2 linked regions of the Danio rerio genome follow. The protein of the gene in region 1 interacts with the protein of each later gene in a pairwise test. Links are inferred from orthologs where the notes say so. Each region holds a gene or a part of one and is shown in the gene's direction. Other genes may lie near its edges.

What was found. The genes of interacting proteins can lie anywhere in the genome.
Region 2: the proteins of srsf11 (region 1) and hyi interact in binary tests that used the Homo sapiens proteins (3 or more experiments, as listed by UniProt). The two-hybrid records come from large-scale screens. The link is inferred for Danio rerio from reciprocal best matches to the Homo sapiens genes SRSF11 and HYI.

Annotation. Positions count from the first base shown.
Region 1 is NC_133186.1:47,577,559-47,588,357, forward strand, and holds the start of srsf11 (serine/arginine-rich splicing factor 11), read left to right. Parts: upstream 1-541; 5' UTR 542-676; coding exon 677-801; exon of another isoform or gene 802-2,027; intron 2,028-2,131; exon of another isoform or gene 2,132-3,583; coding exon 3,584-3,717; intron 3,718-5,713; coding exon 5,714-5,823; intron 5,824-7,038; coding exon 7,039-7,128; intron 7,129-7,543; coding exon 7,544-7,593; intron 7,594-7,760; coding exon 7,761-7,894; intron 7,895-8,539; coding exon 8,540-8,621; intron 8,622-9,586; coding exon 9,587-9,700; intron 9,701-10,259; coding exon 10,260-10,349; intron 10,350-10,799. UniProt on the Homo sapiens protein: May function in pre-mRNA splicing.
Region 2 is NC_133181.1:3,329,226-3,340,528, reverse strand, and holds the start of hyi (putative hydroxypyruvate isomerase), read left to right. Parts: upstream 1-3,667; 5' UTR 3,668-3,825; coding exon 3,826-4,024; intron 4,025-5,020; coding exon 5,021-5,132; intron 5,133-6,609; coding exon 6,610-6,724; intron 6,725-7,775; coding exon 7,776-7,854; intron 7,855-7,938; coding exon 7,939-7,988; intron 7,989-8,689; coding exon 8,690-8,759; intron 8,760-9,595; coding exon 9,596-9,730; intron 9,731-11,083; coding exon 11,084-11,154; 3' UTR 11,155-11,303. UniProt on the Homo sapiens protein: Catalyzes the reversible isomerization between hydroxypyruvate and 2-hydroxy-3-oxopropanoate (also termed tartronate semialdehyde).

The DNA of each region.
Region 1 (10,799 bases):
TTTCAAGATTTGTCTGAAAGTGTAGGAATGTGACATATAGCCTATATTTATAAGGTAAAAGCAACATTTTGATGAATAGGCTACAATGAATACTTTAGATTTAAGTACAGCAGTTTTTTTTTTTACTTTTTAAGAACAACACCATTTTTAAATGAACTTTTAAAAGCACATTTTAACAAAAACTTTTTTTTTTTAATCTGCAAGCACAGTTAATATTCAGACTATTTCAAATGTTTAAAGTGACTGATAATAATACATATTCTTAATAATAGGAATTAATCTGCATCGTTTTTAAACTGTGAACACCTGTAGCTGCTTAATTAGGCCTATGACGCCATTTTTAATACTGGTTAAAAAATAGCGTCGTAAGGTGGTACTTGGAGAGACGAATTTTTTCTAAGGTGGTACTTGGTGAAAAAAGTTTGAGAACCACTGTTATAAACTATGGTTATCTTCCGGCCCGTGTTTTACGCAAAGCCTTTATTTTGAAATTTGCCGCACACGCCGCCATGTTCTTGTAAGCGCGCGCTTCACACAGCAACCCGAGCGCCATTACAGATCCGCAGTGATGCGCGCGTGAGGAGCAGGCCGCGACACACTTCATCCACTCCACGGAGGACAGATCGAGGCAAAATCGCGGATTTGGATGCATATTTACCGTCGCTGATCCAGGAAAATGACGTCCAGCAGCACCAGCGTGATCCAGGTGACGAACGTGTCTCCGAGCAGCACCGCCGAGCAGATGAGGACTCTGTTCGGCTTCATCGGCAGCATCGACGAGCTCAGACTCTTCCCTCCAGAGTGAGTCAAACACAGCTTTCACAAACACTGGGGGAAACTGCACACATTTCTGTACACAAATGTTCATTATTCTGCTCGTTCGTGCAGATTGAGGTCGAATATTAGCACACCCATTCACACTCGATCCGTTTCCGCCACAGTGAACGCGCACACTCTTCTGGTGGAGCTGTTAACCGACTATTAGTGTATTTGTCTTCATATTTTCTGCGTTGTGTGTATTAAGTTGACTTGTACACTCACACGCGATGTTTATTATGGTCATTGTACAATTTAATGTCGTTACTTTGTTACGTGAAGACGCGTGACGTCACGCACGTAAATCTGCGTCGACGCACAGTTCAGTTTTCGTGTGCACGTGTTTGATACACACTTTGTGTTAACAGTTGTTGCTTTAGTTGTGTTACTGTTATAATCACCAGATTTTCATTACAATACAATCTAGTTGTGGTTGTTTTTAATAGCGCTGTCTGTATATAATGCAGGTTGTTCATACACAAATGTAAATGTACCTACTATCTACTCTTCCTCAAGTGTTTTCAAAGTTTAGCTTCTTCTGTTAAACAAGTATTTCCGATAAAGCTGGAAGCCTGTAACCATTGATGATGAATATTGTATTTAATGTTTAGGATAACAGAAATATGTAATAAACCCCTGCTGGTTTGGAAGCACTTGTGGGGTTGTGGTAAATTTGGTTTTATGTTTGCACATTTAGATATTTTACTTAGTATAATTTCAGAAAAGCTTTTTTTTTTCTAATTCTAAATAGTAAAATCATATTAACAGCCAGTGACTATCAAAGTACAACACTGTTCGCAGTGGATGAAATAGTGCTAATGTTCTGATTTATACTGGCATGTAATTTCAGATTCTGTATTCAAAGTAGCCTGATCAACAATATACAGACTTTCCATAGAGATGTGGTTATCAGCTTTTATTTTTAAACAATGCATTAGTTTCAAATACAATACTCATAACTGCATGCTAATTAATCAGTTTTAATCAATTCTACTTTACTATTTTTAAAATTTTAAATGTGCAAATATAAAATCAACATCATCTCAATCTTGGGGGAGAGTAAATGAGTAGATTTACTACTAAATTATTTGCTTATTTTTTTGTGATCTCGCTTTAAAGCTGATGAACATTTTACAGTAATTTGACATATAAAGCTTCATAGTTGTGGAGCAGGTTAAATATGTCAAGCGCGTTGCCTATTTTATTATATAGTTTGATAAAACTATAATATAATATAATAAAACTTATGTAATAAAAGTATGTACTAAATATATATTATATATTTGATATATAAAGCTTCATAGTTGTGGAGCAGGTTAAATATGTCAAGCGCATTGCCTATTTTATTATAGTTTTTGTAGTAATTTTGTTGATTTGGTTTAGTTTGCATTTCATTGTTAAAGGATGTGATAGACTTTAGAGCAGATTTAGAGCAGATTTACTGGTGCAAGGCAAAGAAGAGACAACCCTACTCTAAACAACTGAAAGGGAACTTTGAAGAAAGCAGGCTTCTATTCACATTTTAATAGTACAGTAATTAAGCCTGCAATGTAAAGGCTAGCTCTGAAAATATTTAGTTTACAACATTGCTGTTGTGCAGCCTGCACACTATTGGTAAAGACTGAAAATTCTATTTGCGATATTAATACAATTTCCCATGACTCAAACAAATGAAACATTTTAGATGGTTTCGGATGATTATGTAGGGATGTGTATCTACATCAAATGAAAGGTATTTGGGCATAACGGCATTGGTCACAGCTTTTGCTAAATCAGGGTTGTGATTTTGTTTTAATCGCCCAACCCTACCTATATGGTGACCCTGGACCATAGAACCAGTCTTTGCAAAAAATGCAGTGTATAGGTTAGAAATGTATTTTTCTCCCAAAAAACATTAGAATATTAAGTAAAGATCATATTTTAATAAAATGTTTTTAATAATTTTTACACTGCAAATATATCCACTCCAGTTGTGATGATTAATAAACATTGGTAAAAATTTATTTTGGACAACTTTACACTTTTAATTTATGTTTTTAAGCCCTCAGTTACCTGCTTTTTTAATAGTTTTATCTCACCCAAATGTTTGTAAAATCATTAACACTTTATAATAAGTTTGCATGAATGTATTTGCTAACATAACCAAACAATGAATAATATATTCATTACGATATTGTTCATTGTTAGTTCATGTTAACTGCATTAACTAAAGTAAACAAGCATGAATTTATTTTGTACTACGATTAATAAATTGAAACTATAATTATTAAATGCTGTACTTTATAAGTACATTAACCTGTATTCGTTAATGGAAAGCATATTAATTCAGCTTTGAGAATGCATATCTTATATATGCACTTATGACTGATTTTCTGTTCTGGGGTCACATATGTAAGTTTGCAAACACTAATTAAAGGTTGTAAAAAGATGTAAAATTAAGTGTACTGTGAGCTAAACATGGCTTGTTCTTAGGTGTAGAAATAGAAATGCACTCTCTGAGACGTCACTACTCAGTCAGGCAGGGTTTTTCAGTAGCTTGTAATTAGTAACTTGTTCTGTGCTTTTGTTGTTTTTCACCCATCGAAAAACATCAGGCCTCCTCATATCTGCAGTGAAGGTAGGACGCTGCTGGATCTGAAGCCGGCAGATCTAAAACTGAGCCGGATCAAATCAAATCGAGCCAAACGTGAATATTTCACTGCTCTGTGCGTGCGTGTGTGTGAACTGTGTGTGTACACCTTGCAAAAGCTTCTATATTTTCTTTCAGTGATTCTCCCTTGCCTGTGACTTCACGTGTATGTTTTGTAAAGTTCCACGAGCCGGAGTCAGTCGGAGTATCGCAGCATCTGACGAACACAGTCTTCGTGGACCGAGCGCTGATCGTCGTCCCCTTTGCTGAAGGTTTGTGCCACTCCTTTATTGTTTTTAAATGTTACACGTAATCAATCCCTTCGCAGTGTTGATGACGGCTTTAGTGCAGTGAACTCCAGCGGCCGTCACACACACCTGAACGCAGTATGGGGACATTCACACAGAACGCGTTTCTTTTAAAGTGCTCTGCTTTTTGTGTTTTCGATGTAAAGGCGCACTTGATGGATGTGTGTGATCGTTACTCTTCTTTTTTTGTCAAGTTATAAGCAGTTGAAATTGTAGATGCAGCGCTGCTTGTTAATGTCAGTTTCAAAGCAGTGGACCAATCAGAAGAGTTGAGAAGTGGGACTGCTGCTGCAAGTTTGTTTAAAGTTGTGTTTTAATGCTGCGTCTTTAGTTTAGTTTTTCCCCGCGCGTGTGTTTAAAAGCAAAGACGTGTTCAGTGTGAATGAGCCCTAAGACTGTATATGCACTCAGGTGAATATTTGAGAAATGTTGGGGATTAGACGCCCTGCGTGGCAGGCGAGCTCATGTTTAACTCATTGCCTTTCCAGTTTAGTTTCATTTTTTTTGTTAAACTTTTCTCTTTGTCATCTGTGTGTGTGATTTTTATAGTGAACAAGGCAATTGCAGAGCCGGCAGATGTCTGAGAGTGACCCTCTGCTGCCCTGTAGACAAATAAAAGCGGCGGCCCACGTGTGTTTCCCTGCTGTAAACTATAATCCTCTCTTGTGTCTCCATTCAATTCAATTGAGCTCACAGACAAAGATCGATCCGTCTTTTCTTGCAAAGCACTAATGTTTAGCCTCAAATCCTCTGATTGAACTGCATGCTAATCAGACACGAGATAATCCACGGTAAGATGAGATGTAGCGCATTTCTGCATGAGTCTTTTGCACATGTATATGTGAGGAGAAGCAGCGCTTGGCAAGAGCGTAATGATAGCTGAACGCAGGGCTTTCCCTGCGCGTATGTGATGATTTGTCCAATCTCCCTCCAGTATTTTCAGCTTTTTGAGTAAGAAACAGTCTGAGAATGTTCTTTTGTTCCTCTCCACATGACTGAAAAGGCCTGAGAAGCTTTTTAACGGTCGTTTTCTGTTTTTTGTTGTTGTGTTTTCCAGTTCTTTTCCCTGGTTCTGCAAGTCCTGTAAACCAGGCCCAGCAGAAAATGCCACCCAACAGTTTTGTCTTCTGCAGCTTGTCCTGTTTCTCTCTCATATGTTCTCTCTATCTCTCTCTCTCAGCTCTCTCTCTCTCTCTCTCTCTGGTGTGTGTGTGTGTGTGTGTGTCAGTGATGATTGTGTCTTTGGAGTGAAGTATTAATTTCAGAGGCGTTCACCCAATGGACTCCATGCACTCACCAAACGTTCATTTGTCATTTAACTCTAGTTATTTTTCTCTTCAGCACTTTTTGACACACACACACACACAGTCTGTAGTTAAGTTTAAAACGGGCTTTTGCTGGAAGAGGTCCTTTCTGTTGTATATCTGTGTCAAAGTTTACCAAAGGTAAAGGCAGCTTTAGCTCTGGAATACCAGCAAAAGCCCCTTGATGTCTTTATTTTTGTGTTAGTTCTGGTAAGTCACAGCATCAGTGGTTTAATGAACTGTCATTTAATGCTGACACCCAAATCATAAACTCTGTTTTGTCTATCTTGATGTCTCTGTGTGCTTTATAGCGAAGCAGCCGACCTGAATCGCTTGTTCATTATACAACTTATGAAACTTGAGAGCACATCCCAGTGGAGATCCGGCTGTGCTTGCTTACATTTGGTTCATGACTTAAAAAATCAAGTTCAGGTGATAACATCTTGGCAGTGTGTCTAGTGTCATTTCTTTTCTTGTAGTATTGTGCACTTCATGCTATTGTTAAGGGACCTCATGTGTTAGCTTGCTCTGGCAAAGTGAGTACTGATGTCAGTGCACATTATCTTGCAAAAAAAAAGAAAGTTTGAGTTTGTGGGTCTGTCTGTGTGTGCGTGGAGAGCCGCGGCGTGCTTTAACTGTGTGTTTCTGTTCTGCAGGAGTGATTCCTGATGAGTCCAAGGCTATGTCTCTGCTTGCTCCGGCCAATGCCGTTGCAGGATTGCTTCCAGGAGGCGGACTCCTCCCCACACCCAACCCCGTCCCATCTGTGAGTGTCAATCTCTGTAACCCGAGGCTATATGCTTATTTCAGGCGATCGCCATTTTAAAACACGAAAGCGAGGCAGCGGTGGGAAGGAACCCGGGAGTATAGCATCAGCACTGTAAACATTGCAGCAACATGCTGTGAACTACAAACCTCCAGCTGTTGCCATAAATTGCAAAATGCAGAAATGGTGTAAACATCACTTTAATATCATGCAGTAAGTTTAATCTAAACAATTAACAGCAGATTAGGCATCAAACAACATCACAATCTCTTTAAGAGTAAGTGTCCTCCTAGGTTTCAGTTCATGGCAGCAGGTAAACACCATGGGGACGCTTCCCTGTTTCAGTCTATGTAACCCGGTGAGCAATAAAACCATGCAGTCCTCTGTAACACACCTTCGTGTTGTCTGTAGCAGTGTTGTCCCGGTACTGAAGTTTTAAAAGGTCCATTTCCGCTAACATTTAAGCGCCGCCGAGTTCATAAACTGTGCTGATTTGCCATAGTGTTCACCAGTGCTCAACTGGAATGACTGTGATTGGCTGTGAAGGTCATCAGTTCACCGCTCTTCACCGATTGCTAACACAGATAGACATTGGAGCGTTTTCAAGCCGTGAAGATCGGTCGATTTATCAGTAGATTGCTTGTTTGTGTTTGTACTCGGTAAACATCAGTGAACTGATGACCTTCACGGCCAATCACAGTCATTTCTGTTGAGCACGTGAACACCATGGCAAATCAGCAGTGTTTAAGAACGCCATCAACAGTGCTTAAATGTTAATGGGATATGGCCTTTTTAAAATATTTTTTTACGTTTCAGTACTGAAGTTTTGTCTTATATAGTGAAAGAATCCGTTCATTAACTTAAGGTTGATAAAAGGCATCTAAAACGTGCGTTTGGAAAAGAAAACGTTAGCTAACTAGTTTCATTTCCCTTAACTTAGCTGAAAATGAGCTTTGATATCCCTTTTTATTTTCACTATTCATTCAGAACGGATCTTCAGATCACTTGGAACGTGGTGAAATGGTAAATTTGTGTCACTTTCTCTTCGCTGATGAGATATACAGTCAGGTAGACAAAATTCCTCTCTGACTCAGACGATACTTCCAGGTTTCTTCCACCGCAGCCTCGATTTCGCTGTTTAAAATGTCCGCCTCGTGAAATCAGTCTATGGTCCTCCTTGCACTGTAGTGATGCTCGTGTGCTTTGTCTTGTCAGATTGGTGGCGTCCCTCTCGGCGGTCTTGGAGGACCAAACTTGGACCCGATGGCAGCTCTGGCCATGGCAGCACCCAATATAAACCCACAGGTTTGACCATTTTCCATTCCTTCAATAATGGCCAGACCTCATCTAGCCTTTGTACAGAAATGGCTAATGTTAAGTGCTAAAGGCTGGACGATATGACGCATATCAATGCCTTGATTATTTGAACTCTTTTGATGATTGAATGATTAATAAAATTTTCAATGTAATAAACTTTTTTTCCCCTCATAATTCATTTGCATTGTAAATATACTCTTAAATATCAAAGGCCTTTTTTCTACAAGCGCAAGTAAACTCTATTACGTTGGTTGTAAGTTGTTCATTTTAGTTTCAGTTAGCTAGTCAGTCTTAAATGTGTTGTAAAATTCATCATTTATAATTTTGCATAACTGACTCACAAATCATGAAGCTGTTTATGCAGCAGGACTCTTTGACTCATGCTTGATGTTTTTCTTCTCAGTCATTGTCAGCTGAGCAGCTCATGAAGCTCATGGCATCAATAGACCCCAAGTAAGTTCATCAAACACCTCATCTGCAATCATGCATTTTGTGTGATTTTAATTTTAAAAATAATCCACATATATAGTATTTATTAAATGGAGCATTAAAGGGAGGGTTCACCCAAATATGAAAATGTACTCTGTTTTAAATCATCTATTTATTGTGTGTTGTTGCAGATTGAATCCTCTGGCCGCTGGGCTCAATCTGACCCCTGGACTGAAGGCAGACGCCTCCAATAAAGAGATTGAAGAAGCCATGAAGAGAGTGAGAGAGGCGCAATCTCTGATCTCTGCTGCCATCGAGCCTGGAAGTAAGTAACTGTGTTTCCACTCGAAGATGAGAATTAGATTCATGCACCAAACTGGAATATTGCAGCGAGAAACTGCACAGATATTGCTGAGAGAAGTGTAGTTTGCTGCACTGTTGGGATTCTCCACTGTGCTGTTTGTTCTTTAATACATGAGCTGTGCCTCAGAACACCACATGCAATGGACGCAGTGAATGTGGTGGAGACAAGAGCACAGACAGATGCTCAAGACAGTTCTGGAGGGAATAATAATAATAAAAGAAGAATAATGCTAAAGCACTGTGATGACGGACTGATGGAGGGCTAAGTGTCTGAACAACATCTCACATCCGCAACAGTGGAGAGCTGAAAACCAACATTAGAGACACAAACACCCTCACACACACACACATTAATATATGATCAGCATCTGTCAGAAACTACTGATGAAGTGCATACACAGTTTATTCACTAAAGCTGTTCACAGCAGACTTCTGTGTTTTTAATTATTAGATATGTTCATATATTTAAACATGTAAGTTTTGTTTACTGCAATATTCCAAAATATGCATGAAGATGGGTGGTTTGAAACGGCTAGTGACCCATCAGACATTCTGCTCATGTAAATATTGAAGGATGCTACACTAAATTGTGTCTGCTTCTCTTTAGGTAAGAAGGATGATAAACGAAAGCGCTCGAGATCGAGGTCCAGATCCAGACGCAGGAGATCCAGGTCCCGCTCCAGACACAGGTCTGTCTTAATCGCAGTTTGAGCTGAAATTTGGGCCAATCTGAATAAATTGTGAGCACAGCAAGGTTATTGTAGTTTTGCATTTGTGAATTAGTTTTATTTTGGTAGTATTTTTAGGTTTGCTGTACGCTTGAGTTTTTGTTCATTCCAATAATGGCTGTTTGTTTTAGTTATGCATTTAGTTTAGTGTTAGTAGTTGTCGTTTATCAGAGTGCACAGAACATGTTTACATTCACTTTTGTGCAAAACATTTAGTATTTAAACCATGCAAAACCTCACAAATGCCATGAATAGAAATTCATTAAATGATAAAGAATTCAGAAAAACTTCATATTAAAAAACAAAGTTTATATAGAGAGAGGGTGTTTAGTATTTTATAATGTTCACTAAGTAAAACATGAGAAGGTCAATGTTTCAGTTAATGAAAATGTCTTTAGACCAGGGTTGACCAAACTGGATCCTTGAGAGCTGCTGTCCCTTCATATTCAACACATCTGCCCTATAATTTTCTAGTCTACCTATAAAGAGCTTGACTATCTGATTAAGGTGTTTGGGTTGTAACTGAACTCTGCAGGACGCTTTGTTTGAGCTCTCCTGCTTTTGACCAATAGCTTTAGTCTTGAGCTGCGGTCACGCTGGAGTTTGTGTGTGTGAAATTGTCATACTGCGCCAGGAAAAGGGCCGGGATCAAACAAGATGATTAGATGTTTAAAGCGAGCGATTGCTCCATATTTTACATTTCTGTGCAGAGAGGACATGTTTGGATCCTCGATTGGTCTCATGCAGTGATGCGATTTCACAGATCAGAGTTCACCAAACTTAAACTTTGCAACACAGCGAACTGCAAAACTCGTCGCATGAGCTTGCATTTCCAGTCTGACACATTCACGTGCATATGAACGGAAGTCTTTGGGGTGAAAAATCAGCTTTAGTTTTGGCTTACTATGATGATGTTGTGACCGCAGGCGCTCCAAGAGTCACTCCAGGCGGAGATCTCGCTCCAGGAGCAGGAGGAGGTCCAAGAGTCCCCGCAGGAGGAGATCTCACTCCAGAGACCGCAGCAGACGCTCCAGGTCCAGGTCAGTGTCTGTCAGTCAGTCCTCGGGTGTGTCAGCTAGGGATGCAGACAATAACTCTGTTTAATTAACTGTAATACTTTTAATAACTACACTATTCACTTAGGGTTAATAAACCATTAAGGCTCCACGATGGCATGTTTCTGCTGCACGTAACAAAGCAAAATCATAACAGTTATGCCAGCAGTTCACGTTGTTTTTAATTCTAAAAATAGAAATAGTTTTTCCTTATTGTTTGCTTTTACTTTTATTTTGTGACGTGAGCTTCAATAAATTACAACACAAAATTTTATAAACATTTGTGTTAAGTTGTTGAATGTAAAAATTAATCAACGTGAAATAAAAAAAATCTGTAAATTTGAATGTCATTTTATGAAAACTGATTGATTTATATTGATAACTGTAGATAATTCTGCTCACTATAATAGTTGTATAAAAATGTTTTTTTTTATAAAGGCTTTTCATCTCTAGTCCTCTATTGAGGCACTCAGGTGTCTCCAGGGTTATTGTGGAGAGATGCTGGCTTGTTTCCTCACAGATGTTTGGTTTGTTTCTGATGTAGAGATCGAAGGAAGGATGAAAAGTACAGGAAACGGTCCAAAACTCCACCCAAGAGCTACAGCAGCGCCAGACGCTCCCGCAGCACCAGCCGGTCAGTCTGGACTGTTGAGTGTTTATTAACTTCTCTTTTGAGTTTTTAGAATCGCCAAAAACATTCTAATTCATTAAAATAATAATAAAAGTTGCCATTTAAGATTTTAAAGTTCAGTTTTCCAAATTCAGAGCCAAATTCTGTGCTTTTCATTAGATTTAGTAAGAAAATGATTTCCTACACGCTTTAATGTAGAGCTATTTAACATTAGAGGTTTTCTGCGAATGTTTTATGTTTGTCTTTTAATTAATGATTTAATTTTTTTAAACTGTTGATAGCCTAATCAATCAAACTAAAATTAAATTGCATATGGAAATTCCTTTTAATTTATCAACAATTTGTTTACTATTGAAATATAAACAGGAAAATTAGATTGTATAAAATAATATTTGAATTCGACTGTAAAATAGTGATAAATCTGATATGATGAAAGCTTTTGTTTTGTTTAAT
Region 2 (11,303 bases), on another chromosome or scaffold:
TTCATTAAACACTAAGCCGAATAAAAATAAATAAGTATTAACAATGTTGTCCTTCTTCCTTTTTCCCCCCTTAATTTTTTATGCATTGTTTAAGTTTTTTTTTGTATTACAACTATGGTTAATTATCATCAGGGTTTGAAAAATATAAATAATTATTTTACATTGTAATTTTTAAGATATAATACAGTATATATTCATTTTAAAAATGAAATATTCAAATTTAAAAAAATATTAATAAATGTATAAATTGTTAAATGATAAATAAATAAATAAACATAAAAAGGGAAAAAATTATTACAAATGAATTAAAAAAAAAGTTCAAACTGAATCAAATAAGAAATTCTGAAGAGGTCAAAACAGAAGATATTTTCTTGCAAAACATATTCAATAAATATAGTATTATTTAGCACCATATATATATATATATAAAAAAAGTACATGTATATATACTCACCGGCCACTTTACTGGGTACACCTTTCCAACAGCTCGGAGGAGAATGGCCAGACTGGTTCCAGCTGATAGAAAGGCAACTGTAACTCAAATAACTGCTCGTTACAGCTGAGGTCTGCAGAAGAGCATCTCTGAACACACAACACGTCCAACCTTGAGGCGGATGGGCTACAGCAGCAGAAGAACACACCGGGTGCCGCTCCTGTCAGCTACAAACAGGAAACTGAGGCTACAATTCACACAGTCCACCAAAACTGGACAATAGAAGATTGGAGAAACGTTGCCTGCTCTGATGAGTCTCTATTTCTGCTGCAACATCCGGATGCTCGGGTCAGAATTGGGCATCAACAACATGAAAGCATGGATCTGTCCTGCCTTGTATCAATGGTTCAGACTGGTGGTGGTGGTATAATGGTGTGGGGGAGATTTTCTTGGCACATTTTGGGTTCATTAGTACCAATTGAGCATCTTGTCATCGCCACAGCCTACCTGAGTATTGCTGCTGACCATGTCCATCCCTTATGAGCACAGTGTCTCCATCTTCTAATGGCTACTTCCAGCAGGGTAACACACCATGTCATAAAACGTGTATCATCTCAGACTGATTTCTTAACATGACAATGAGTTCACTGTACTCAGATGACCTCCAAACTCCCCATATCTCAATCCAATAGAGAATGGGAGATTGGCATCATGGATGTGCAGCTGACAAATCTGCAGCAGCTGTGTGATGCTATCATGTCAATATGGAGCAAAATCTCTGAGGAATATTTCCAGTAGCTTGTTGAATCTCTGCCATGAAGTTCTGAAAGCAAAAGGTGGTCCAACCCGGTACTAGTAAGGTGTACCTAATAAAGTGGCCGGTGAGTATATCTTAGTGGTTTTCATTTAACGTGTATTTTAATTAATATATTTTTATATATGTTATACTAAATGATGTATGGGGGCACGGTGGTGCAGTGGGGAGCACAATCGCCTCTCAGCAAGAAGGTTGCTGGTTCTAGTCCTGGCTTGGTCAGTTGGCATTTCTGTGTGGAGTTTGCATGTTCTCACGGTGTTGGCGTGGGTTGCCCCCGGGTGCTCCAGTTTTCCCCACAGTCCAAAGACATAGGCTATAGGGGAATTGGGAAAGCTAATTTGGCCGTAGTGTATGCGTATGAATGAGTGTGTATGGATGTTTCCCAGTGTTGGGTTGCGGCTGGAAGGGCATCCGCTGTGTAAAACATGTGCTTTATAAATTGGCGGTTCATTCTGCTGTGGCGAACCAAGTTTAAGCCGAAAAGGAAATGAATGAATGAGTAAATGATGTAAAATACTGACTTGATTTGCTTTACATGAACTGAATTTGATGCAAACATGAGGGCAGCATATGTAATACGTGCATAATAATAAATAATAAGTCCAGAATATGTTAGTTCTCTATTTCAAACACTGCAAATATGAGGGAAAATGACAAGTGCAATCATCATAATCATGCATATTCCAGACAACATGCAACCATAATGACATGTAATGCTGTTCAAGTGGATCATAATGAAGTCTGTATGGAGGAAATCTGTGCTGTGGTGCATTAGTGAGAGTCTCTTCTTGAAGATGAAGATGGAGAGATGCAGATACTTTAATAAAGTCAGAATAACATGTTTCCATCAGTGGAGTTTTTAATATTCATGAGTGTATTTGAGTCCAGGTGCTTCATTAACCTCTGCTGACCTCCTCCATGCTGCTGCTGTATTGAATATTTACTATAAACCTCATGAAATGATACTCAAGACACTCGCGCAGGATTACATCACCTTCTGTCCCAGTGGCTATGAAAAAACACACAGTAGGTGTAAAACAATAACTCATGAATATGCATGAGTCTGCTTCATGTAGTGGCTGAACTGAGAATTAAAGGAATACATGAAGTTTGGACTCTAAGATCGTCTTTTAGGTGTTTGTATGGGTTTACTTCAGCAGCTGTCTGAACATATGCCGGCGACTAAAAGATTACAAACACTTACTTGAGCTCATTTTTAAAAAATAATGAATCAATTCACGACTGACATTGAAATATTATTTAAACATTGCGATTTAAAAAAAAAAAAGAAAAAAAAAAGGAAATTGATCTAAAAATCGAAACTAAAATTAAAGGTTATATAATTTAACAAAATATTTAGTGGAAATAAAAGGGAAAATGTAATTAAATGTAAAAATTTAAAGTAGAAGCTCATTCGTTTAATATATTACATTGTTTAACAAAGGGGTGTCCAAACTCCAAACTGGAGGTCCGGTGTCCTGCCGAGTTTAGCTTCAGCTTGACTCAACACATCTGCCAGGAATTTTCTAGTACAGTGAAAGCTTGAATAGCTGGCTCAGGTGTGTTTAATTAGGGTTGAAGCTAAACTCTTCAGAAAATAGGCCCTCCAGGACCGAGTTTGGACACCCCAGGTTATTTATTTATTTTTTTATTTTTTGTAATATTTTTAACGTATATAATTTAAATTATATAAATTATTATTAAAATGTAAATAATAAATATAATATAATATTTAAATAAAAATTTTATTTAAATAATAAATAATAAAAAGTAGAAATAAATATAGCTATAAATAAATGTATAAATAAATATTGAAAAATAGATGTTGTAATAAATATAAAGAATATATCTGAATGAATGAAAAAAACCCCAATATAATAATAAATTAAATATACATATACTAATTTAAATAATAATAATAATAATAATATATAGTAACAATCGCACCAAAAATGAAAACATTATTGATTTTTCTTTTCATTATAATTTTTTTGACTATTTATTTTACTATTTTGTTTGTTTTTTTGGTCCAATTTATATTTGAATACATTTAGAAATGTTTTATATAAATATACATAATAATTATAATTATTTATTCTATTAATTAACCATTTTTAAGTTAAGCAAACATATAGAGCTTTAAAAATTTAAAATTAAATTAAAAAATTAAAAATCGTTGCAATAATGGTACAATAAAATATAATATTAACATAAAAAAACAGATAAAAATAAAAGATTTTTAATTGCAGTATAACACAAATTCAGTGAAAGGAGAAATTCAAATAAACACAAAATGTACAGAACAGAGCAAAAATAAAAAATAAAATAATAAAAGAAATAAACAAATGATAAAACTAAAAGTAGGCTTAAATGCAAGATCCTCAAATGAGCCAATGCGCATGTGCGGAGAAGCACGTGACGTGCGTAGTCAGCTGATCGCTGAAGATGTAAACACAGTGAGCACGTGCTGATCAATAAACGCTGAACTTTGGTTATTCGGTTAGTTATTGGTTTCTTGTGTGTGTCAGAGTGTGTCATCGAGCTGCATGTGCTCGTCCTGCTGCAGACGTGTTTAATGGCGCCGTTAAAGTTCTGCGCGAATATCTCGTGGCTGTTCACGGAGCTGCCGGAGTTCCCGCAGCGGATGCGCGCCGCAGCGAGTGCGGGGTTCCGCGCGGTGGAGGCGGCCTGGCTCTACAACACCGACCTGAAAGAGTTAAAGACAGCCAAAGAGGAGACGGGGCTCGAGTTTGTGCTAATAAACACTCCTCCTGGTGAGAGAAAGAAACGCACGCACACACACGAGTGAACGACAGACAAACAGACGAGTGCATTGACGGATCCATAAACGGATAGATAGATGACTAGATAGACAAATAGATGGATGCTTGGGTCAAACTTTAGACAGATAGATAGATAGATAGATAGATAGATAGATAGATAGATAGATAGATAGATAGATAGATAGATAGATAGATACATAGATTGACGGATAGATGGATGGATGGATAGATAGATAGATAGATAGATAGATAGATAGATAGACGGATAGATAGATAGACGGATACATAGATTGACGGATGGACGGATGGATGGATGGATAGATAGATAGATAGATGGATGGATGGATGGATGGATGGATAGATAGATAGATAGATAGATAGATAGATAGATGGATGGATAGATAGATAGATAGATAGATAGATAGATAGATAGATAGATAGATAGATAGATAGACGGATACATAGATTGATGGATGGACGGATGGATGGATGGATAGATAGATAGATAGATAGATAGATAGATGGATGGATGGATGGATGGATGGATGGATGGATGGATGGATGGATGGATGGATGGATGGATGGATGGATGGATGACTAGATAGACGGATGACTAGATAGATAGATAGATAGATAGATAGATAGTTTGATAGATAGATAGACGGATACATAGATTGACGGATGGACGGATGGATGGATGGATAGATAGATAGATAGATTGATGGATGGATGGATGGATGGATAGATGGATGGATGACTAGATAGACGGATGACTAGATAGATAGATAGATAGATAGATAGATAGATAGATAGATAGATAGATAGATAGATAGATAGATAGATGGATGGATTCTTGGGTTAAACTATGGTTGGATGGATGGACGACTGGATGGATCACTATATTCAGATGACTAGATAGACGGATAGACACTTTAATTAAGTGCTGATAGTTATCATCAGTAATAATCAGCTGCTGTGTTCCCGCAGGTGACGCGTCAGCTGGAGATCTGGGATTGGCTGCTGTTCCTGGGAGAGAGCAGGAGTTCAGGCAGGGTTTGGATTTGGCTGTTCAGTACGCTAAAGCACTCGACTGCACGAGGTACGAGTGTGAGGATGTTTAATACTCTTCAGGAACACACTTCAGTCGACCTTCAGGGGTCACACATTTAACAAACACCAATTACATGTTCATAAAGGTTCATGAAACCCTCGAGTACTTTTTCTGAGATGTTAACAGAATTGTGTTTGTTGAGCATCAGTTAAGGCAATGTTGGCACCTGTCAGCTGTAATTGTGGGGTAAACTGGATAATTTGGAGCATTTGTCAGTTTGTCAGCTTTTGTCGGTTTCTCATTATTATTCATAGCGGAGTTTTCTTATCCTATGAGAAGAGCCGGCTTCTTAATTATTCATGCCTGCACGTGCTTTACGAAGACAAGGCAGACCTGCCAGTGCCAAGCTCTGAGACACAAACACACAGCACACAGTATTCATCCATTCATGAAGGGTTGTGTGTCTGTTTCCCCGCGATGCTGTCAGGATCGATACAGCAGAGCTGTTTGTGTGCAGCAAGCATTTTTGTCAGGAGAGCAGTACGAGTATGACAGAGAATTGTGGACTTTGTCCTTTATCAGGAGTTCGTTCACATTTAGACACATCACCGTGCTGCTGTGTTTGCCTAAATCCTCCAGATTACCAACAGGGCTAATGGTTAAAATAGGCAGGGCAAGAGAGTCTGCATTCAGACCCGGGGATTGAGGGAGAAGTCATCATTTATAGTGTTTATATGAACATGCTTATCTTTAAAATGATATAAATTGTGGTTATCTGTATATGAAATTACAAATAACAAATGTAGCTGAGCATTAAATTACCGTTTGTTTCTTTGCATTTTAACTTTGTTAGCTATAAAGTCATGCGTCTCCTCATGGTTTGTGTCTCATTTTGTGAGCCGACTGACAACAGTTGTTCGCTCCCCTCCTTCTCCCCTGCTGGCCACGCCCACTCTTGCCCTTTGCTCACAGAGCTCCACGCCCATTATCATGCATCTTTTGAAAAAATTCTGAGGTAGACTTGAACCGAAAGTGGGGGGTGTCATGACCCTTTAAAGCCCTGTCCACACAAGCATGAGTATTTTCAAAAATGCACTTTTTTTCTACACATTTTTACTGTTTGTCCACACAAAAAGGGAGTATTGGCTGACTGAAACTCAAGCTTTCTGAAAACTCCGACCATACAGAAATCCAAATCAATATTTATTCAGAGATTTGCATGGAAGAGCTCACTTTTCCTGCTTTGTCTTTTTGTTGTCTGGTTAGGACTCAAATGAACAAAACACAGCAGCAATAACAGTCCTTCAGCTGATTTATATTCACAGTGGACTGCTGGATGTTCCACTCATATTATATAAAGCATAAAACAAGCGCATACTGAAGCTGCTGTGAGGAAGACATGAAGCTTTACTTACTGAAATGTTCAGATTTGTGCTGAACTGTTCTTGCTGAAGCTCTGAGGTGTGTTTTCTCCATCGGTGGAGCATGAGGATGGTGTATATGTGATGTTCATGTGTGTCTCCAGGATTCACTTGATGGCTGGCAGGGTCCCGGCGGGGTCTGAACGCTGCGCTCTTGCCCTGCAGATGGAGGATACGTTTGTGCACAATCTGAAGCATGCAGCAGGTGTGCTAGACAAGGTGACCTTTGACCCCCTTAAAATTTCTAAATCAAAATTATAGAATCCAAATCTAAGTCATTAGAAATCCAATTCAAAATCTACAATTAAAAATCAAAATTGTAAAATTCCAAATTTAAATTTACAAAAAAAAAAAAAAAATTTAGAATTCCAAATTCTAAAGTTACAAAAATATATATATTTTTTGAGATTTCCAAATCTAAATTTTAGAGTTAATAATCAAAGTTTTTGAATTCTAATTTTAAGTTTTGAATTCTAAATTAACATTGTTGAATTCCAATTCAAAATATTAGAATTCCAAATCTAAATTTACAAAAAAATTTTTTTTTAAATTCTAAATCTAAATTTAATTCCAAATTTAAATTTTAGAAATATTAATCAAAGTTTTTTAATTCTAAATTAACAATGTTGAATTCCAAATCAAAATATTAGAATTCCAAATCTAAATTTACAACTAAAAATCACAATTTTAGAATTCTAAATCAAAGTTTTAGAATTCCAAATCTTTATTTAAGAATAAAAAAACTAAAAAAATAAATAAAAATTAAATTAAAAAATTTGAAATCAAAAGTTCAAAGTCCAAATTTTAATTGACTGCAGTCTTGTGTTCTTAGGTCTTACATATTTTTAAAAATTATTTATTTATTATTATTTACAGCATAAAATAATATATAACATAAATGAGTATATATAAATATCATTGTAGTCTTCCTCCAATGCTTACTGAAATACTCCTACAGTGCTTGAAACATTTGTTTTGTTTTTGATTTCGTGATGTTGTAACTCTCCACCGGGTCTCTACATTTAATACCGTGGTTTGGCTGGATGGTTTTGATGCTGTAATTTAGTGTAAGGCTGAATTTGAGAGCTTTTAAAACGATACTATACTATATAACTCTTCAATGCTGCTAATTTGATCAATAATCACTAAAAACTCTTTTACTTACACCTAACTTTTAGTACCTGTAGGTCACATATTTTGCAAAAAAAAAAAAAAAAAACGATCAAAAATTGTCTTCATCGCCCAAAAACAGTTTGTCTTTGCTCTTCAGGAAGGTCTGCTTGGTCTGATTGAGCCGATCAACAGCAGGATCACAGACCCACGATATTTCCTGCACTCTCCACATCAGGGTCAGCACTCTCTCACACTGAACATTGAGTGTGTGTTTTCTGATTCTGGATCATTTACTGATGTTTTATTGTGTTGGTGTGTAGCTGCTGAGATTCTGCAGAGAGTGGATCATCCCAGCATCAAGATGCAGATGGTTAGTTTTCTCATATTTCTCATATATTAGTCTGTCTGTCTGTCTATCTATTGTTCCATCCATCCATCCATCTATCTATCTATCCTTCCATCCTTCCATCCATCCATCCATCCATCCATCCATCCATCTATCTATCTATCCTTCCATCCATCCATCCATCCATCCATCCATCCATCCATCCATCCATCCATCCATCCATCTATCCTTCCATCCATCCATCCATCTATCCTTCCATCCATCCATCCATCCATCCATCCATCCATCCTTCCATCCATCCATCCATCCATCCATCCATCCATCCATCCATCCATCTATCTATCTATCTATCTATCTATCTATCGATCTATCTATCTATCTATCCTTCCATCCATCCATCCATCCATCCATCCATCCATCTATCTATCTATCTATCCTTCCATCCACATCCATCCATCCATCCATCTATCTATCCATCTATCTATCTATCTATCTATCTATCTATCTATCTATCTATCTATCTATCTATCTATCTATCTATCTATCTATCTATCTATCTATCTATCTATCTATCTATCTATCTATCTATCTATCTATCTATCTATCTATCTATCTATCTATCTATCCATCCTTCCATCTATCTATCCATCCATCCATCCATCTGCAGAAAACACACCTCAGACTCTCCATACACTGACTGTTCTTGTCTGCTTCTGCTGTTGTAGGACATCTTCCACTGGCAGATCATGGATGGAAACTTAACTCACAATATACGGAGATACTTACCAATGACAGGTAAACCTCACCGTTACTGCGGTAATACATAATCCTGCTGCAGTCTGTCTCAACCTAACAGACGTTATATTTCAACATCTTTACTATTAATAATTTTTAACATTCAAAAGTATTATTTTGATGAATTTTAGTAGTAGCGATTTGGCATTTTTACTTTATTTTGTAGAAAACTGAATAAAGAAAGTTTATTTTAGTGTGTGTGTGGGTATATATATATATATATATATATATATATATATATATATATATATATATATATATATATATATATATATATATATATATATATATACACACACACACACACATATATACACACATATATACACATATGCACAAACACCACAACAATAAAATAATAAAACATTTCTGTTTAAATTTCTACAAAATAAAATAAAAATGTCAAAATATTTCCTATATTTACAATATTAACATTCTAAGTTTGTATTTTTGTTGAACATTTTGTAGTAATATTTTGTCGATGTTCTGTGTTTATTTCAAGTTTTGTTTAACTGTCTTTGGTTATTTTAGTTTCGAACTTGAATACAAATTAGAGAAAAACAATACATTTTTGAGTAAAAACAGGCTCAGGTTTGATTTTTGTTGTGCTTTTTTACTATATTTTATCATGTTTATTGTTTGTTTTAGTATTCCAGCCTATATTAACAAAAAATAAATGCAATTATTTTGTTATATTAAGAATAAGACCATCGTTTTTTTTTTTGCTTGTCTACAAAATGCTTTTAAATTATATTGTTATATTGTTATATTACTTTATTATACTTTCTGTTTTCCAGTTTTATTATTACTTATTGATTATTATTATTTTGCATCAGGCCACATCCAGATAGCTCAGGTTCCGGATCGGCATGAGCCAGACAGCCCTGGAGAGCTCAATTTCTCCTTCATCTTCAGACTGCTGGAGGAGCTCGACTATCAGGGCTTCATCGGCTGCGAATACAAGCCTCAAGGTCACTTCACTGATTATGAGTTTTAATATTGATCATATATGATTTAATGATGAACATTTACAGTAATACTATAATAGGAATAAAAAAAAGGCAGAAACAAATGTTCATTTTAGTAAAAACACAATAATGAATGTGTAATATAATAAAATATATTATATTATAATAAAAATAATATAATATCATATAAAATAATAATAAAAATAATATAATATAATACAATATAAAATAAAATATAAAATAATATATCATATAAAATAATATGATATAACATAATATAATAAAATATAATATAAAATAATATAATATAATATAATATATAAAATCTTATAACGTAATCATTTCTTTTTTAGTTTTGTTTTTTAGCCAGTAAAGTAAAAAAAAAATTTATTAGTCCAAATGTGATTTACTTTTTGATTTGCTTAAATACTTTAATATTCATATATGTGTTAGATAAATAATCAGTATATTATGACTTTTTAATGATTAACATTTTATGTAATATTGTCAATGGAATAATAAACAATAAATAAAAAGTTTTGTTTTTTAACCAGTTAAGTTTTTTTTTTATTTGTGTAAATGCGTTAATATTAATATGTGTTAATTATTATATGATGACATTTTAATGATGAACATTTTGTAATATTATCATAAGAGTATTAAACATTACAGAAACAATTTTGCATTTTGCTAACAACAACATAATATTATTAATAATAATTAGTTTATCATTATTATTATTATTATTATTATTATTAATATTATATTTTAGTTGTTGTTTTTTAAACCGGTAGAGTTCAATAATGTTTTATTAATCTAAATGTCATTTACTTTTTGATTACTTTATACTTTAATATTCATCAAAATCATTAATCTGAAAAGATTCTGATGTTGTAAACCAACTTATGATCAGCTCCTTAGATATTCATATTCATTTAATTTGAGGGTGTACTATATTTATCTGTTTTTTGTGATATTTCTGGTATGTTTTTGGTTAAATGTCTTTATAGTTTGTAGCGTAATCAGTTTAGTTCTTCATTTGTTTTTAATTTTCAAAATAAAATGAATTTAAAAACACCAAAACAAAACATCTATGAGATCTTGTTAACAGGTCTACTGCACACAAACCAAGACCAAAGATCAACATCTAAATAGAAATGAAGTTGCACAAAGTGAAGTGACGTACCAAATACAATTCCTTTAAAAAAAATGTTAATGTGTTTAAAAAACAAACAAACAAACAAACAGCTGTAAATCCTCATGGCTTCATTTCCAGGCTTTGCTGTTCATTAGCTACACAGAGGATTGTGAAAATTGAGTTTCTGCTGATTTATATTTGTGAATATTATTGTCCAGGTTCGACTGAAGCCGGTCTGGAGTGGCTCCGAAAATACTGGAGAAGCCGAAATGGAGGAGAACGTGACTAAATCAGCTCTAAAAGGCCACACAAGATTAAAATATGCTTCAAATGAACCGTCAGTTTCACTCACTGGAATAATCTTTCACCTCCGCATGCTTTTCAGCACTTAATTTCTCTCATTTCAGAAACATGACGTCAGAGGTTTAATTTAAGATT